Linked DNA regions of Drosophila melanogaster. The protein of the gene in region 1 interacts with the protein of each later gene in a pairwise test. Each region holds a gene or a part of one and is shown on either strand. Other genes may lie near its edges.

Region 1 (8,742 bases):
AATTGAAACATTGAGCGATAGACGGGCGTTGTTAATTTGCATATTCAATACCAAATCTCATGCGATCGCTGGAATCAATAACGTAGATGATGCCGTGGCAGTTCTTAAACTGGTGCTCCCACAGATTCCTGTATCGCGTCGCACCGGACATGTCGATTGCCTTAATGGAAACACCTGACATGCCTACTCCAAGGGGATACATATAGTCATAGTTGATGATTCCACGGCCACTTACTGTAAAACTGTTCCACCATGAAGCCAACTGTGGGCACCACAATGGATGTCTGTTCGCTGGACTTTTTGAAATGATTAATTATCGAGGACTTTCCGCTGTTGTTCAGTCCCAGCACCAGAATCGTCATCTTATCCTTTTTAATCTTTATCAAATCGGCCAAATTGTGCAACATTCCCATTTTACTGGCGGACGGGCATCAATTTTATTTTGTTTACGGCGATTTTCCTGACATGTTTGGCCCTGCAAAGGACTTTCAATTGCCATGGCAACCCGCTTGGTGTTGGCATCGATTTATTGAAACTTATGGCCACCTTCAACTTTGGCTGCCGCATCCGATTTGTTCGCCCCCACGAATTTTCAAGTTCACCTAAGGCGTGACTTTGAGTATTGGGTTCGATTACAACAGTAGGGGAAGAGGTCACCCATCATGCCCAAGATGGAATTGTTTTGGCCATATGTACACCTACACTGAACTGAATGATTTGGCTTTAGGATTTCATAAAATAAATCATGGAACTCAGTTTAGCAATTAAATCTACAACTTGTAGCAAAATCAAGAATTTGTTCCTTTTGTTACAAAAGTTTTTTCATTTTGGCATTTTGATATTTACAATTGATTTCTATAATAGTACAAGAAATTGCTTTAAAATTGATCAATTGAACAGTAAACTTTAAAATCTTGAATGCCTCTAGCTGATATCCAAATGTTTTCGTCCAGACACTACAATATGCTGCAGTTGTATCCATTAACAAGACGTTGGTCTCCATAGAACCTAAAACCGGATATGAAATCCTAGCAATGATTTCTTGCCAAATAACTTCAATCACGATCCACTTAGTTGAAACTATTGTCGATAAATAATGTTGATCAGAACTACGGGTTTTACGTGTTGACACAAGCCAAGGTTTATTGTAGAATTCTTCTTAAAAAACATGGTTACTGATAGAGCTCCTCTACTTCTTGGTGTTCAAGATGATACCATCGTATTTCTGCTGGAACCACTTCATGGCATCCTCCTTGGTGAGGCGGTGCTGGAAGCCGACAGTGCCGGACTTGCGCTTCCTGTGGTTCACATTGTAGCCTGCAAGATAAACCAGAGTAGCAGATAAGTAATCAACGTTTTGGCAATCCATGAGACGCTGTCGAAATTGTACCGTGTGGCCACGCATGGAATGTAGCAAGTCCAACTAAGCACATCTTCTTTGCTATGCGCACATTCACTGAGCATCAGAGCCTCGATTGGCAGAGATACCTAATTAAGTGCACGATTCGAAACGTAGGAGACAGATGCTTACCAGGGCGGCCGAGGACGACGTAGAAGTCCAGACCATAGATACCGATGGAGGGATCGTACTTGATGCCCAGATCGATGTGTTCCTGGATGCCGAAACCGAAGTTGCCGGTGGAGGAGAAGTTCTCCCGACGCAGCTCGTACTCGCGCACCTTCAGGCCACGCTCCAGAATCTCCTCAGCCTTGGCGCCGCGCACCGTGCAGTGGACAGCGATCTTCTCGTTACGGCGAATACCGAACGAACGGACCGTGTAGCGGGCCTTGGAGAACACTGGCTGCTGACCAGTCAGCTGCTCCAGCACCTGTTGGCATTCTCTAGTTAGCCAGTGATCATGGTTATGCTGCATCTAGGTATATCTTACCTTGGCGGCACGGGTCAGCCTGTCACCGGACTCGCCCACGCAGATGTTCAGGCAGAGTTTGCGGATGTGCAGATCCCTCATCGGGTTCTTCGCGGGATCGCGCTTAATCTTCTTGGTAACCGCCTGAAAAACAACCAAGGAAACTCGTCACTTCTTGTGCTGCCATCGTAAACACACAGCGTACAAATTTTGCATGACAAAAATATTGTTGAAAATATGTCGATGCGTGCAGCAATTGTGGTTGAACCTACCGCCATTGTGGTATGTAGGAGTGAAAGCTGCTCACAGGTATCCCTCGCTACAAATAAACGATTTAAAAGTGGTTAAATAAAAATATCGGCAAAAAAAACGCGGAGCACTCACCGGAAACTTGTAAGAAAAGAAGGAAAGGATAGTGTGGCCGCGCTGAGGCGCACAAATGGACCTAAAAAACGCACGACACGTGCTGTTGTCGTGCTGTTATCCAACTATCGTGCTGTTGTGCGCACGTCGTTCCATCACTAACGGTTAACAGGGCTAACGGTAAATAAATGGGGTATTCCTTAAAATGTTAACCACTGAAATTGGTTTATTCAATTATTTTAAATGCTGAACAGCAAATATGGCCGATAATTGTGATTATTTGATTGCACGGATGTTTAAATTACTTTGAGGTAGCTTGATTTGATATTTGTTTACTTGGCGTTATTCGCATGTAACGAAAAATCCTTTTAGAATAAAAATTTATTTGAAATACGGCCCGCTTAATTAACTTCATTTCGCATTAAACACATCGTTTAAGTAATGCGCCAAAATTAATAAAAAAAGGCACTTCCAGTGATATCAATTGAAAAACTCGAAGTAAACGTCCATAATAGTTTATTTGAATTATTAATTTTAGCAATAATGTGTATTCCATTGAAGAAGTCCGTCAACTTTAAAGTGTGTAGCATCAATTCGTATGTAGAGCTTAGTCGATGGACTTCATCTTGCAGAGGAAGTTAATCGGTAGCAGCTTGATTTCCTCGTTAATCCTGCAGACGAACACATCGCCATCCTTGGACAGCACTCTGCCCACGGACTCGCGGTCATCGCCGTAGATGATCTTGAATTCGTCGCCATTGCATGGTAGCACTGGCGCCAAGTGCTCACTAACGATGGACACACTGCGATCCTCCTGGCGCAGGAATACGGAGCAGACGCCGTTCGAAACGGTGCGAATGATGCCCGTTTGCCCAACGAGATCGGTGTCGTCGTGCGTGTGAATCCGAACTTCAATGTCTGTGGTACACCAGTCGCCCATCGACGAGTCCAGACTGGCTCCAGGGGTCTGCGGATTGTACGGCGACTGCGGTATGCCACCAGGAGTATTCGGTGAATAAGTCGATGGCGACGGAGTGTTCATGTAACCAACGGGATACGGCGACGGAGCAGGACTGGGGCTGGGATTGAATGGACTGTAGCTTCTGTCCGATCCATACAGAGTGCCAGGAGTTTGCGGGGCAAACTGGGAAGTCATTTGATAGCCAGGGGTACCTTTAAGATTCGATGGAGTTACAATATGTCAAGAACAATGCGCAACCAAAGTACTTACTTGGATTGTATCCAGGGCTGGGACTGGGCTCCTCAAGGGAGTAATCGAAATCGTTGTTCCTGGCCGGCGTTGTGTTTGCCGTGGGATCCCAAGCGCCATGACGTGGTGTCATGCTGCCATCGTGCGATGGTGTCATTGTACCATAAGGAGTACGAGTATCCGTATCCCAGTTGGGCGTCTGGCTTCCCACCAACGGAGTTTTCGATCCGGCAGCGGTATAACTGGGAGTCTGGGCACCGTAGCCGGGAGTGCGAGCTGGGGTGCGTCCATATGTGGAGACACTGCCCTCTTTACCGGTAACTCCCACAATGGCAATGTGATTCCGGTCTACCGAAATCGTCTGGCATGAGGTATGCAGTTCCACACGAGCCGTGCTCTCGGTGGCATCCTTCACAATTCCCACGGCGCCCTTATAAGGTCCTCCACTAATCTTAATGGTTTTACCCAAGATCTCACGGTCACGGGTCACTCGGAAACCACCTCGTCCACCACGGGCGCCACCACGAGCTCCACGACCACCGGATGGATGCATGGGCGATTGAATGCGCGGCGACATAAATCCTAGGCCGCCCACAATGCCGGCATTACTAACGGTAGTCTTGCTGCCTCCAGCCAACTGCAAATGCCTAGTCTTGCACACAAATATTCCACCGTTCTCCGTGTACATGCGGCAATGGAGAAAGGCCAGACTGCGATACAAATGCTTGATCTCGCCGGAACGTCCCTAAAAGATTTGACTTTACACATACTACAGATTGGATAAAATCGAATAACTTACTGCATGGGGTCCCTCCATCACCTTGACTACATCGCGCCGGCGGATTTGGTTTTGATCTGCATCCAGAGCCACCGTATGACGGTTCTCCTTTCGCTTGTGCAATGCAGTTGGCTTGCACTCGATGCACTTGCCATTCATGCCCAAGACATGGAAATTCTCCCTCTCCAAACGCACTATGACACCCACATTCTGGGAACTGTTATGATAAAATTCTTTTAAGATCCGTTTCGCAAGTCATTACATTCGTAAACTCACTCCAGTTGCACCATATCTCCCCATTGAAACTGGCCGAGACAATCCACACCTGTGGCCACATCCGAGCACAGTTGCAAGTCCCTTGGCAGCACCTCCAACTCGTGATTGGTTAGATCGGAGACGAGCACCACTCTTGTAGGCTCGACGCGAATAATGAGGCCAGTTTCGCCTTCGTAACGACCAGCCAACACTCTGGCGTGATCTCCTGTTTTGAAGTATTTGCGCAGCTCACTGGCTTTGAAAATCAAAGGATCCTGCAAAAATCACTTGTTTTATTACTTCATCCTACTTTTCTTTTGTCATACACACCTTTAAATCCTGATGTTTGGGCATGACAGTAATCATGGTGCCGTCAATAGCCACAATCTTGGCCTGTAAGTTTTCCAAATCACCCACGCAGACTTCCACATTGTCGCCCATTGAGAATGAGTGAGCCATAGTGGGATCATCCTTCACGGTGCCCATAATTTCCAAGTTTACCTCTGCATAAGTATATTTCCAGGTTAATATGAACACAAGCAGGTCTAACTTTCATATCTTACCTTCCGGAGATTCTTCAAAGCGTTCTAGCTCGGCTAAAGTGGGCTTTACACCGTCCGAGAGAATGGCCGACATGGTAAAGTTTTTATACAGGAATCCCTTTCGCGAATACCGGTTTCCCTCGAAGAGCAGGAAATCACCATCTGAGTGTACTTCACCTCCAATTGCCCTAAACAAAAACGTAGTTTAGGTCTTGAGCGAAATTAATTCTAATGGTACTACACACCTTACGGCCTCTGGATCAAAAGGTTTAGCTGCTGGGCGGCGTTTCTTCTTGCGCTTGCTATCGTCACTCTCCTATTGAATACATACATTTATAGATCTCATTACACTTTATGACATGTTTATGATCGCCCTACCGTTGCTGTTGTTCGCAAGGCTCCTCGCATGCGTGTGTAGTCAATGCGAGGAAGCAACTTAAGATGTACTTGGTTCTGGGCCAGATCCACGTAGTCCACCTGTGCGATGTCGTCCTTGTAGAGACCGCGCTTCAAGCGCACCCATTGTTTCACTTTAAGGCCAACCTGCTCCTTGACCACCTTTAGCACATCCGTCATCTCCTTGATGGGCACCATTTCCTGTTTCCATTTGCCCATCCGAAGATTACCCACGTTATCAATGCAAGTTTTAACATGAGTCTGCTTATAGGCCTCCAGGTAAATGTATCCCTTGACGCCCTCTGGTGCAATAATAGATTTGATTTGCAATGGATCGTCTGTGTTCAGGTAGGTTAAGTACTTTCGCATTAGAAGAAGCGCTGTGGCCTTCTCCTCGCCTATACGACATTTCACCATCCACAAATTGGGATCCCTGCGAGGAGTACATAGTATAAAATGGTTGCCATTTCGTAAAGATTTGGAAACTCACTTGATGCCGGGCAATAGAGTTTGTTGGGTAATTTCGTCTGACATCTCTTCACCGCCATCTCCAAAGTGGCGTTTTGCAATTGACTCATCGGCGTACTTCTTACGGAGATACTCCTCTATCTCGTCCTCCTTTTGAGTGCTAGAATATAGGAAACAAATTAGACTGAGACCGGGCACTATCCGAAGCTTCAACTTACTCCCAAAGGTTTGTGCCTCGTCGTCGAATTTCAATATCCCTGGCTGTGGGGCCCAGCTCATCGATCTCATTGCCAACAATGCCAATTTCATTGGCACCCTCTTCCCACTCGTCATCTTCATCGACCTATAGTTTAGTGAATGATTATAGTTATATATGGAAACAATTATACGTGTTATAAAGACTCACTTCATCGTCCACTTCGGCCTCGTCAATGATGAAGCCCCCAAAACGCTCCTTCTTTTTCTTCTTCCTTGGGTGATCGTCGTTCTCCTCCTCATCGTACTCCTCGGAATCGATGTCCTCACCTGGTGGCTCCTCCTCCTCTTCGCCGGATTCATCGCTCTTGCCGCGATTATCTCGTCTCTGTGGAGATTCCGAGCCAGATCTAGAGTGGCCCGATTGAGAGCGTGATCTGGACCTGGAAACGGAGCGAGATCCCCTGGAACCGGACCTGGAACGCGATCTTGACTTGGAGCGGGCACTCCGTTGCGACTTGTTGGAAATGGATCCATCTTCGGAGCCACTATCCGACATATTACTGACTTCCGAGTCCGACATTATTGTCTATGTGAGTCCTAAAGGCAAGCAAAGAAATGTGATAACAATCAATTTGATATGGCAAGAATGCATATACAATTAGGAGCACCCCGCCACTTTTGATATGCAGGTGCTCTTGCGGACAAACCAACATATCCAAGTTAATTGGATGATGATCATTATTCTATTGTTATATACATGAAACTAGTAAGAATGCCACATTGTCTAATTATATCTACCAATTCCTTTCTCAAGTTTTTTTTTTTGCTTCTTAAACACGAAATTTGTAAACGTGTGCGAGTGCAACGAGTGCAAATCGCATTTTTTATATCTTCAACTATTATTCACAATATATGCTGGGGTATATGCATTTTATACTGGTTGCGAAGGTGTAATAACGATAGTACTTACTATTTCCTTTATGTTTAATTAGATATTTTCTAAGCGAATTGTTCAAAAGCAAAAAATGTAATTCTTTCCACGCCAGTGGTGGACAGTCGTAAATTTGTTGTTATCGATTGCTTGCGTTAGAAAAGTTAATACCAAAGTGGGAACTAGTTCCATGAGCTAATTTAGAAACTAAAAATTAAATTATTACAAATAAATAATATAAAACATTTACTCTGCTATAAAAAGATAAATATAAAAATTGAAAATAAATGCTTAATTCCACAGATGATGTGTAGCGCTCCAGTGAACCAGTTCCAATTCGGGAACAGCCCTGCTGGCTTATTATCAGCAGAAGGATTCGGTCACACTGGCTACTACGGAGAAATAAGTAATCATATTTTTAAAAATAACCATTACTGGCTGATAAAAGACAGCGGGCAGACACAAATCCATAACCTGAATCGACGATGTGGCGTTGAAGTGAAAACACCGCAAGGTTCACCGTGCAATTCACTCAATAACCATATCAACCCCACACATCTGGCGCAGACTGTATGTATAAACAGATGCACATACGGGGGGATGTGCATGTGTGTGCCCACTACCACATACCGCATTTCCATAAACCGAGAGTTTGGCAATAACGACGAATCTCTCGCTTTCCCGACCACATTAAAGAATTCGGTTATATAGCCCGCCGATCGACGGCCCGTAACTCTGGCGTCGGCAGAGAGTGGGCGTGCAAGTAGGTTTCTCGTGGCAGTAAGGTGTGGTTCCACAACACCATAAAGCAGACGGAGTGAAAGAAAAAAACAAAAAAAAAACACACACAACTTGGTGGTGGGAAAGTCTCTCTTCTCTTCCACCTGTGAAGGAAGATTTTCAGGAAGTCCGCCAGTTAGCTAGCTATTGTGTCATGCAATCGATATCCGCCGTAACATATGCTTCTGGTATCTCAGGTTGAAACCTCTATACGGAATCGCCCACTGTGCGGTAACTGTGGACCATGAACACCGCGGGAGCCACCAGTCAACCGCCGCCCACTAAAAATGAGAGTGAGTTATGCCACTTGGCCCCACTACCACCACATCATAAAACTAAATGAAATCTATTTCCCCGCCAGTTAACTCCGAGGAGTATCTCATCCACGTGCATATGCCGAACAAGAGCTTCAAGGCTGTTCGGTTTAATGTCAAGGAGACCGTTTTCCATGTGATCCGGCGCACTGTCGAGGATCTGGGCACGGATGGACGGACGCCCAGCATTCAGCGATATGCCTGCCGCATGCTTAACATGATCACCAAGGAGGTGATTTGGCTGGCTAGAAGCACTTCAATGCAGAAGGTTCTCTCGCACATCCTGACGCCCGGCTGCTCCAACGTTGACTGTCCCAACAACCAGTCGGAGTTGGATGAGGTTCTATTGGAGCACGGAAGAAGGATCACCGATAATAGGGTGTGGCGAGTGGAGCTCAGAGTGCGCTACGTGCCAAATAATATTCAAGAGCTCTTCGAGGAGGACAAGGCCACATGCTTCTATTATTTCAATCAGGTGAAAGAGGACTTTATCCAAGCCAATGTCACAGCCATCGACACTGAAGTGGCGGTGCAACTGTGCTGTCTGGGCATTCGTCATTATTTCAAGAACATCACCGTGAAAGCACCTGACAAAAAGCAGCACATTGACTACATTGAAAAGGAAATCGGATTTAAAAG
Region 2 (5,372 bases), 6.8 Mb from region 1:
CATCAGCACACAACGCAGGTGTGTTGCATTCTCTGTCAAGGTTACCATCATGGTTTTTGAAGAGTAAAGACGCAAGCTTGTGGAACTAAAATAATCAACTCAGATATAAGAAAGCTACAAAAATTGAAGTTCTTTTTTTAGACATACATTATTCAACTGCTCCGCATCGCTGTGATCAATGACATCGGCTATATGATGCCGTAAGTATTGCATTGCCTTTAAGGGATCTTGGCGCGTCATCTCCTCATAGCGCAGTTTACGCACCAAAAACCGACAATGCTTCAGGATCTCCTCTCGTTTGGGTCTAAAATATAATAAAATTATCATCGATTACATTCAGCTAGTAAATTACATACTTTTCCAGACATAAAAGCCAAAAATCATCAAGTCTCAGCTGCTGCTGCTGGCAGATTCCAGGATTTCCGCCAAACAAATAATGGGTATTGGTCACATCATCATAGACCAGCTGGTGGGCATAGCGAGGGCACGGCTCTAAGGTTCCATCACCCTTGCTAGCGCCCAAAATATTCATGTTGTTAATTGAGTTGGCATCCTGGCCACTGTGGCGACAGTAATATATCCTCGACCACTTGTGATTGCGCAAGGAATAAACCCAAAAGGAGTTTGATGCATCAATATGCTGTATATCACGACGATCCTTCACCTTACTTAGGCTCTAAAAACGAAGAAGTTAAATACGAACGCCGAAATAATGTCAGAACTACCTACAGAAAAAATATAAATTTCATCACGTTCACAGTCAATGGTGGCACGTAAAGTATAACCGGAGGAAGGTTCGAATTTGGCTTCGTTGCCAGCGATGGTTCCGTGATGCGGGTGCTCCTTGTTGAGAACCGATATGGCCTGGGTGTCTACATCGTAGCTAAGAAACTCATCCAGATCCTCCTTCCCTCGTTGTCCGCCGTATATGTAAAGTTTTCGATGTTTCTATAATAGCGCGTACAAATACATATATCTGTATACATAGCTTATAGAGTATAATTAACCTACGTTATGGAAAACCATGCAGTGTGTGATCCTGGACTTGATGGACATCACATCTGCCAGGGAAGCGCTGGCATGGTGGCAGTCCACCAGAATCTGAGCCCAGGTGTTCGTTGCTATGTGATAGGAGAACAGCCCCGAATATTCTGGTTCTATCGCTCCCGTGGCATTGACACTGCGAGGCGTGAGTATTTTGCCTCCGAAAACGTAAATTGTACGCTTATCGGTATCCATGCACATCTGGTGATCATAGACAAGCTGAGGACCACCCACTTGGCTGGTGTCATCGCATATTTGCATCCAGTTGCCAGCCCTCGTATCGTAAAGGTAAAAGTCGCTCTTTATATAATCCGAAGTTCGTATCGAGTTATCCAGGTAACGACCAAGCATGAATACATTTTCGCTGATGGGATCAAAGACCATTTTGTGACAGGATCGCGGTGTGGGTCCATTGGAAAGCTCTGACCTTTCGCACAGTAGCGTCCACTGATCATCTTCGATATTGAATACCCAAAGGTCGCTCAAGTCCTGGTAGCCATCCCAGCCGCCGTAGAGATAAATAAGTCTCCTTTTGGCATCCACCACCAGCTGGTGACCACCGCGATTGCCTGAAATAGAGGAAGTTAACTGCTAATGATTGCTATTTGGAGGCAAAAATAGTTACCAGGCTTTATGTCGCTTTCGGTATGCTTCATATGCCAGCTGTGCTTGTAGTCCTGCTTATGTAAATACTCATCCATTAGGCCCTCGTCTATGCACTCGACTATAAAGCGTTCAGCCTTCTCAAAGTCGCCCTGCAAAACCTAAGAACCAGTTTTTTTTATGAATTTAATACCAAACTTCAAAGGTTTATAGCATGATCTATGCTGGGGATTCCTTTCTTACCAGACACTTATGCAGTTCGCTGATCAGCGGGTGCTCCAGTTGCACATTCGTTTGCTCCTGGAGCGCCCCAAAGGCACTCAAATAGCCCTGCTGGCGGAAGTGCTTCAGACACAGCTTGATGATCTCCACCTCGCGCAGCGAGTTGTAGTTCTTCATGCGAGCACTGGTGTACATGGGGTCGTCCTGGCCGTGCAGCTCCACGTACCAAATGCTGAAGTTGAACGACGGACCCCAGGAGAGCAGGGGCACGATCTTGAGGTACAGTATTGGTAGATTTTCCGAACCGTCTTCGGTCAGGCAGCGCAGGTTGAATACTTCTGGCACGTTATCGTTTTTTAGGCCACTGGGAAAAATATTTGAGTTATATTAAATAATGCATTTCAGAAAACCAGCTGAATGACCTACCCCTCCAGCAGCAAAACCATGTGCTCATCGTCCAAGCCGCCGTAAACACGGAATTTCTTGATGTTGCACACATGCGATTTCTCGAACTTGCCAAACTTGATTTTCTTCACAATGGCGGGACGGCGCAGCTTCAAGGTGAGAAATTGCGGCGGGCTGTTCGTGTAGGCGGACCACCTAGATGTTTGGTCGTTGGGACAGTCCACCAGGACGTTTCTACGAATGGAAATTAAAAAGATGCCCGTTTAACAATTACGATATGCGAGGCATCCATTTTCTTTTCCAGATTAGTACTTACTCAGGCAGATAGTTTGGCGAGTAGCTGGAGTAACGGTAGATCTCAAAGTTCAGGCGCTCGGAAAGCGAAAAAGGCTTTTGGCTGCTGGTATTCGTGCCGGAGACCGGGTTTAAAGATGGATTAAGGGCCGAGGACAGCGCCACCGATCCGTGCGAGCTGTTGTCCGTGGGACTGGATGTCGAGGAGGAGGACATGGCGAGTTCTATTCCAACGATCCTAGCGGTAAAAGATTAACGGAGCTCGGCTGTAGCTGTTATTACCGTTCTTTCTTGTCCGTACTTTTGTGCTTCCCTGTTCCACACCCAAAACAACCGCGTAACAGCTGATCGCCAGGGGCGTAGCCGTTATCTCATCAGGGGGTCGATTAACCGATTGTCTTACATTACATTGGCAAACGGTTAGCATTTAACAACAATTAGCATTGTGTAAATAACCAATAGAATTAGGCTGTAAAATCAAAACAAGCAATCGACCTTTTCATTTTACGCTTTTTTACTTCCGAGCGATAGTGCATTTTTAACAAAAATTAATTTACGTTAAGCCGATTTTTTGGCTAAAGTGTAGATAAGTGTATCGTGGCGTATCGATTATTTATTTGAAAGCTGTTTGTTCATTCAACCGTGATACCTTTTTATCAAGTGTACAAAGTTATTAAAATGTAGTTAGCGTATGCTTTAAGTTGTTCGGTTGAAGTTATGTTTATTTGTTTCAATGATGGCAAAGTGGCTTGCTGTCTCTTGTGTGTACTTGGGCGTTTTATTATGCCTTCCAAATACCATTGTGCGTAAATAAGCCCGTATAAATACAGATTTCAAAAATATTTTAGTTTTTAGTTCTATTCCAATGGATACTTTTTCAAAATCAGAAAAACTGAGTGCATAGCAAACGGAGCATATTTCAGCAATGTCTCTTGCATTCTGAAGCCTGTAAACTGGACTCGATCGGTATTGAACATGGATGGTGACATAAAGGAGGCATTAACTGATATTAAGGTGAGAAGTTTCATTAATTTAAGTATTACAATAATAATGGAAATTTTCAGATGTCAGTAGAAGTGTTCTACAAGGATTCTTCGAATTTGTACAAGCCCTTCGCCGTTAAATTTAAATTTGATGTTTGCCAATTGTTAAAGAATAAAACGCAAAGTAATTTTCTGCAAAAATACGCTATTAGCCATTTGACGGAGTGGACTAATGTAAACCACAGTTGCCCATATAGGGTAAGCTTATGTATATATAATATAGTTAAATTTTCTCAATATATTGAATATATATATATGTTTCTAAAGGGTCATTTGATTGCGCGTAACTTTCGTTTGGACGAGGTCTCTCTGCCCATACTTCCAATTCAGGATTACAAAATTGCATTTAACTTTTCAGGAGCCAATCCAGGAATTCACTTGGGACTGGTTTTGATCTATTTTGAAATTCTAGAGGATTATTACAAGCAAAAAAAGAATAAGCCACTGCCCAAGCCGTTGAACTTTGTTTAAAATTCATATAGCTGCTAAGGAAATATACACTTTTAAAACACGTTTTAATACAAAGGTTAGCTTCGTGAAAATTCTTTTGACAATTTTTGTCGGGTGTAACCGGCGCCCATCGATATCGTAGATTCAAGAAAATTTTAGAGTACGGTCACTCTGTCAGTGTCGTGGCTTGGTTTTGCACGGATTTTGTATTTTTAGTTTTAAACCCATAATTGATAAGTAAATATGGCCTTTGACGCGATACCCAAGGATCTGCGAGGACTTCGCGCCTGCCTCGTTTGCTCCCTAGTGAAGGTGGGTTATATTTTGCCCAGACTCGACACACATTTTCATTGAAATCATTTATCGCCCGCAGAGTTTTGATCAATTTGAGACTGATGGCTGTGAAAACTGCGAGGAGTTCCTGCGAATGAAAAACAACAAGGACAATGTCTATGATCACACTAGCAACAACTTTGACGGAATTATTGCCCTAACTACGCCCACCGACTCCTGGGTGGCCAAGTGGCAAAGATTGTGTAAGGCCTGAATGACTTCCGTTCCAAAAGGGTATTACTGATATATTTGAAATCATTTTCCTTTAGCCCGCTTTACTCGTGGTATCTATGCCATTTCTGTATCCGGAACACTGCCGCAGTCTACCTTACGTGACATGAAGAATCGTGGAATTGTCTACAAATCTCGGGACAGAAGTCAACGATAAACAAACAGATTGCCGTACAAAATACATGTATAAATCTTTATTCTTTAATTTATAACAAAACCACGAATACATACAATAGCAATACAAAACGAAACCGCATCAGTCATCCAGCGAACTAACGCGCAATCCCTCGCCGCCGGCAGTCGTAACATGAACACCAAAACCCGCCGATTCGAGCTCCTCTTTAAGCTTCCAGTAGACCTCGTTGCACTCGTAGTTCTCTGGAAGCAGAACGATGACATAGCCACCTGCGCCGGCGCCCGTCAGCTTTGAAAAGAAGCCACGCTTAAAAGCGATGGTGAAGATTTGCTCCAGTTTCGGGTGCGACACTCCGATAGCCTTCAACAGATCATTGTTGATCTGGAACAGGCGTTCAAGTTGCTCGAATTTCGAGCTATCGTCTTGGGCGTTGCCAAAGCTTTCGTAGAGTGGAACGGCGGCGGCAACAAGCTCCTCGCAAGCCTGCCAAATGGCCTCGATGAGCTGCGGAAAGGCATCTCCCAGATGACGAACCTTGGCCACAATGTCGGCGGTGCTGCGACTCACACGACTGTCCACCAGCAGGATGTTTAGTGGTTTCTGGATCTTCA

What was found. The genes of interacting proteins can lie anywhere in the genome.
Region 2: the proteins of Spt5 (region 1) and spt4 interact in binary tests that used the Drosophila melanogaster proteins (3 or more experiments, as listed by UniProt).

Annotation. Positions count from the first base shown.
Region 1 is NT_033778.4:19,435,888-19,444,629, reverse strand, and holds Spt5 (Spt5), read right to left. Parts: upstream 7,148-8,742; 5' UTR 7,049-7,147; intron 6,676-7,048; 5' UTR 6,659-6,675; coding exon 6,287-6,658; intron 6,224-6,286; coding exon 6,099-6,223; intron 6,041-6,098; coding exon 5,903-6,040; intron 5,846-5,902; coding exon 5,395-5,845; intron 5,333-5,394; coding exon 5,262-5,332; intron 5,205-5,261; coding exon 5,038-5,204; intron 4,978-5,037; coding exon 4,805-4,977; intron 4,750-4,804; coding exon 4,496-4,749; intron 4,437-4,495; coding exon 4,241-4,436; intron 4,187-4,240; coding exon 3,463-4,186; intron 3,405-3,462; coding exon 2,839-3,404; 3' UTR 2,732-2,838; downstream 1-2,731. Other genes in the region: Arl6 (ADP ribosylation factor-like 6), read right to left, coding at 52-186, 236-413; RpL11 (ribosomal protein L11), read right to left, coding at 1,190-1,317, 1,532-1,829, 1,890-2,012, 2,141-2,146; Fak (focal adhesion kinase), read left to right, coding at 8,034-8,082, 8,151-8,742. UniProt on the Drosophila melanogaster protein: Component of the DRB sensitivity-inducing factor complex (DSIF complex), which regulates transcription elongation by RNA polymerase II.
Region 2 is NT_033778.4:12,629,373-12,634,744, forward strand, and holds spt4 (spt4), read left to right. Parts: upstream 1-4,216; 5' UTR 4,217-4,304; coding exon 4,305-4,373; intron 4,374-4,434; coding exon 4,435-4,597; intron 4,598-4,663; coding exon 4,664-4,782; 3' UTR 4,783-4,800; downstream 4,801-5,372. Other genes in the region: muskelin, read right to left, coding at 1-85, 148-304, 357-676, 730-948, 1,012-1,613, 1,670-1,808, 1,891-2,233, 2,296-2,508 and 1 more; CG33792 (uncharacterized protein), read left to right, coding at 3,302-3,370, 3,424-3,582, 3,633-4,082; Mvk (mevalonate kinase), read right to left, coding at 4,882-5,372. UniProt on the Drosophila melanogaster protein: Component of the DRB sensitivity-inducing factor complex (DSIF complex), which regulates transcription elongation by RNA polymerase II.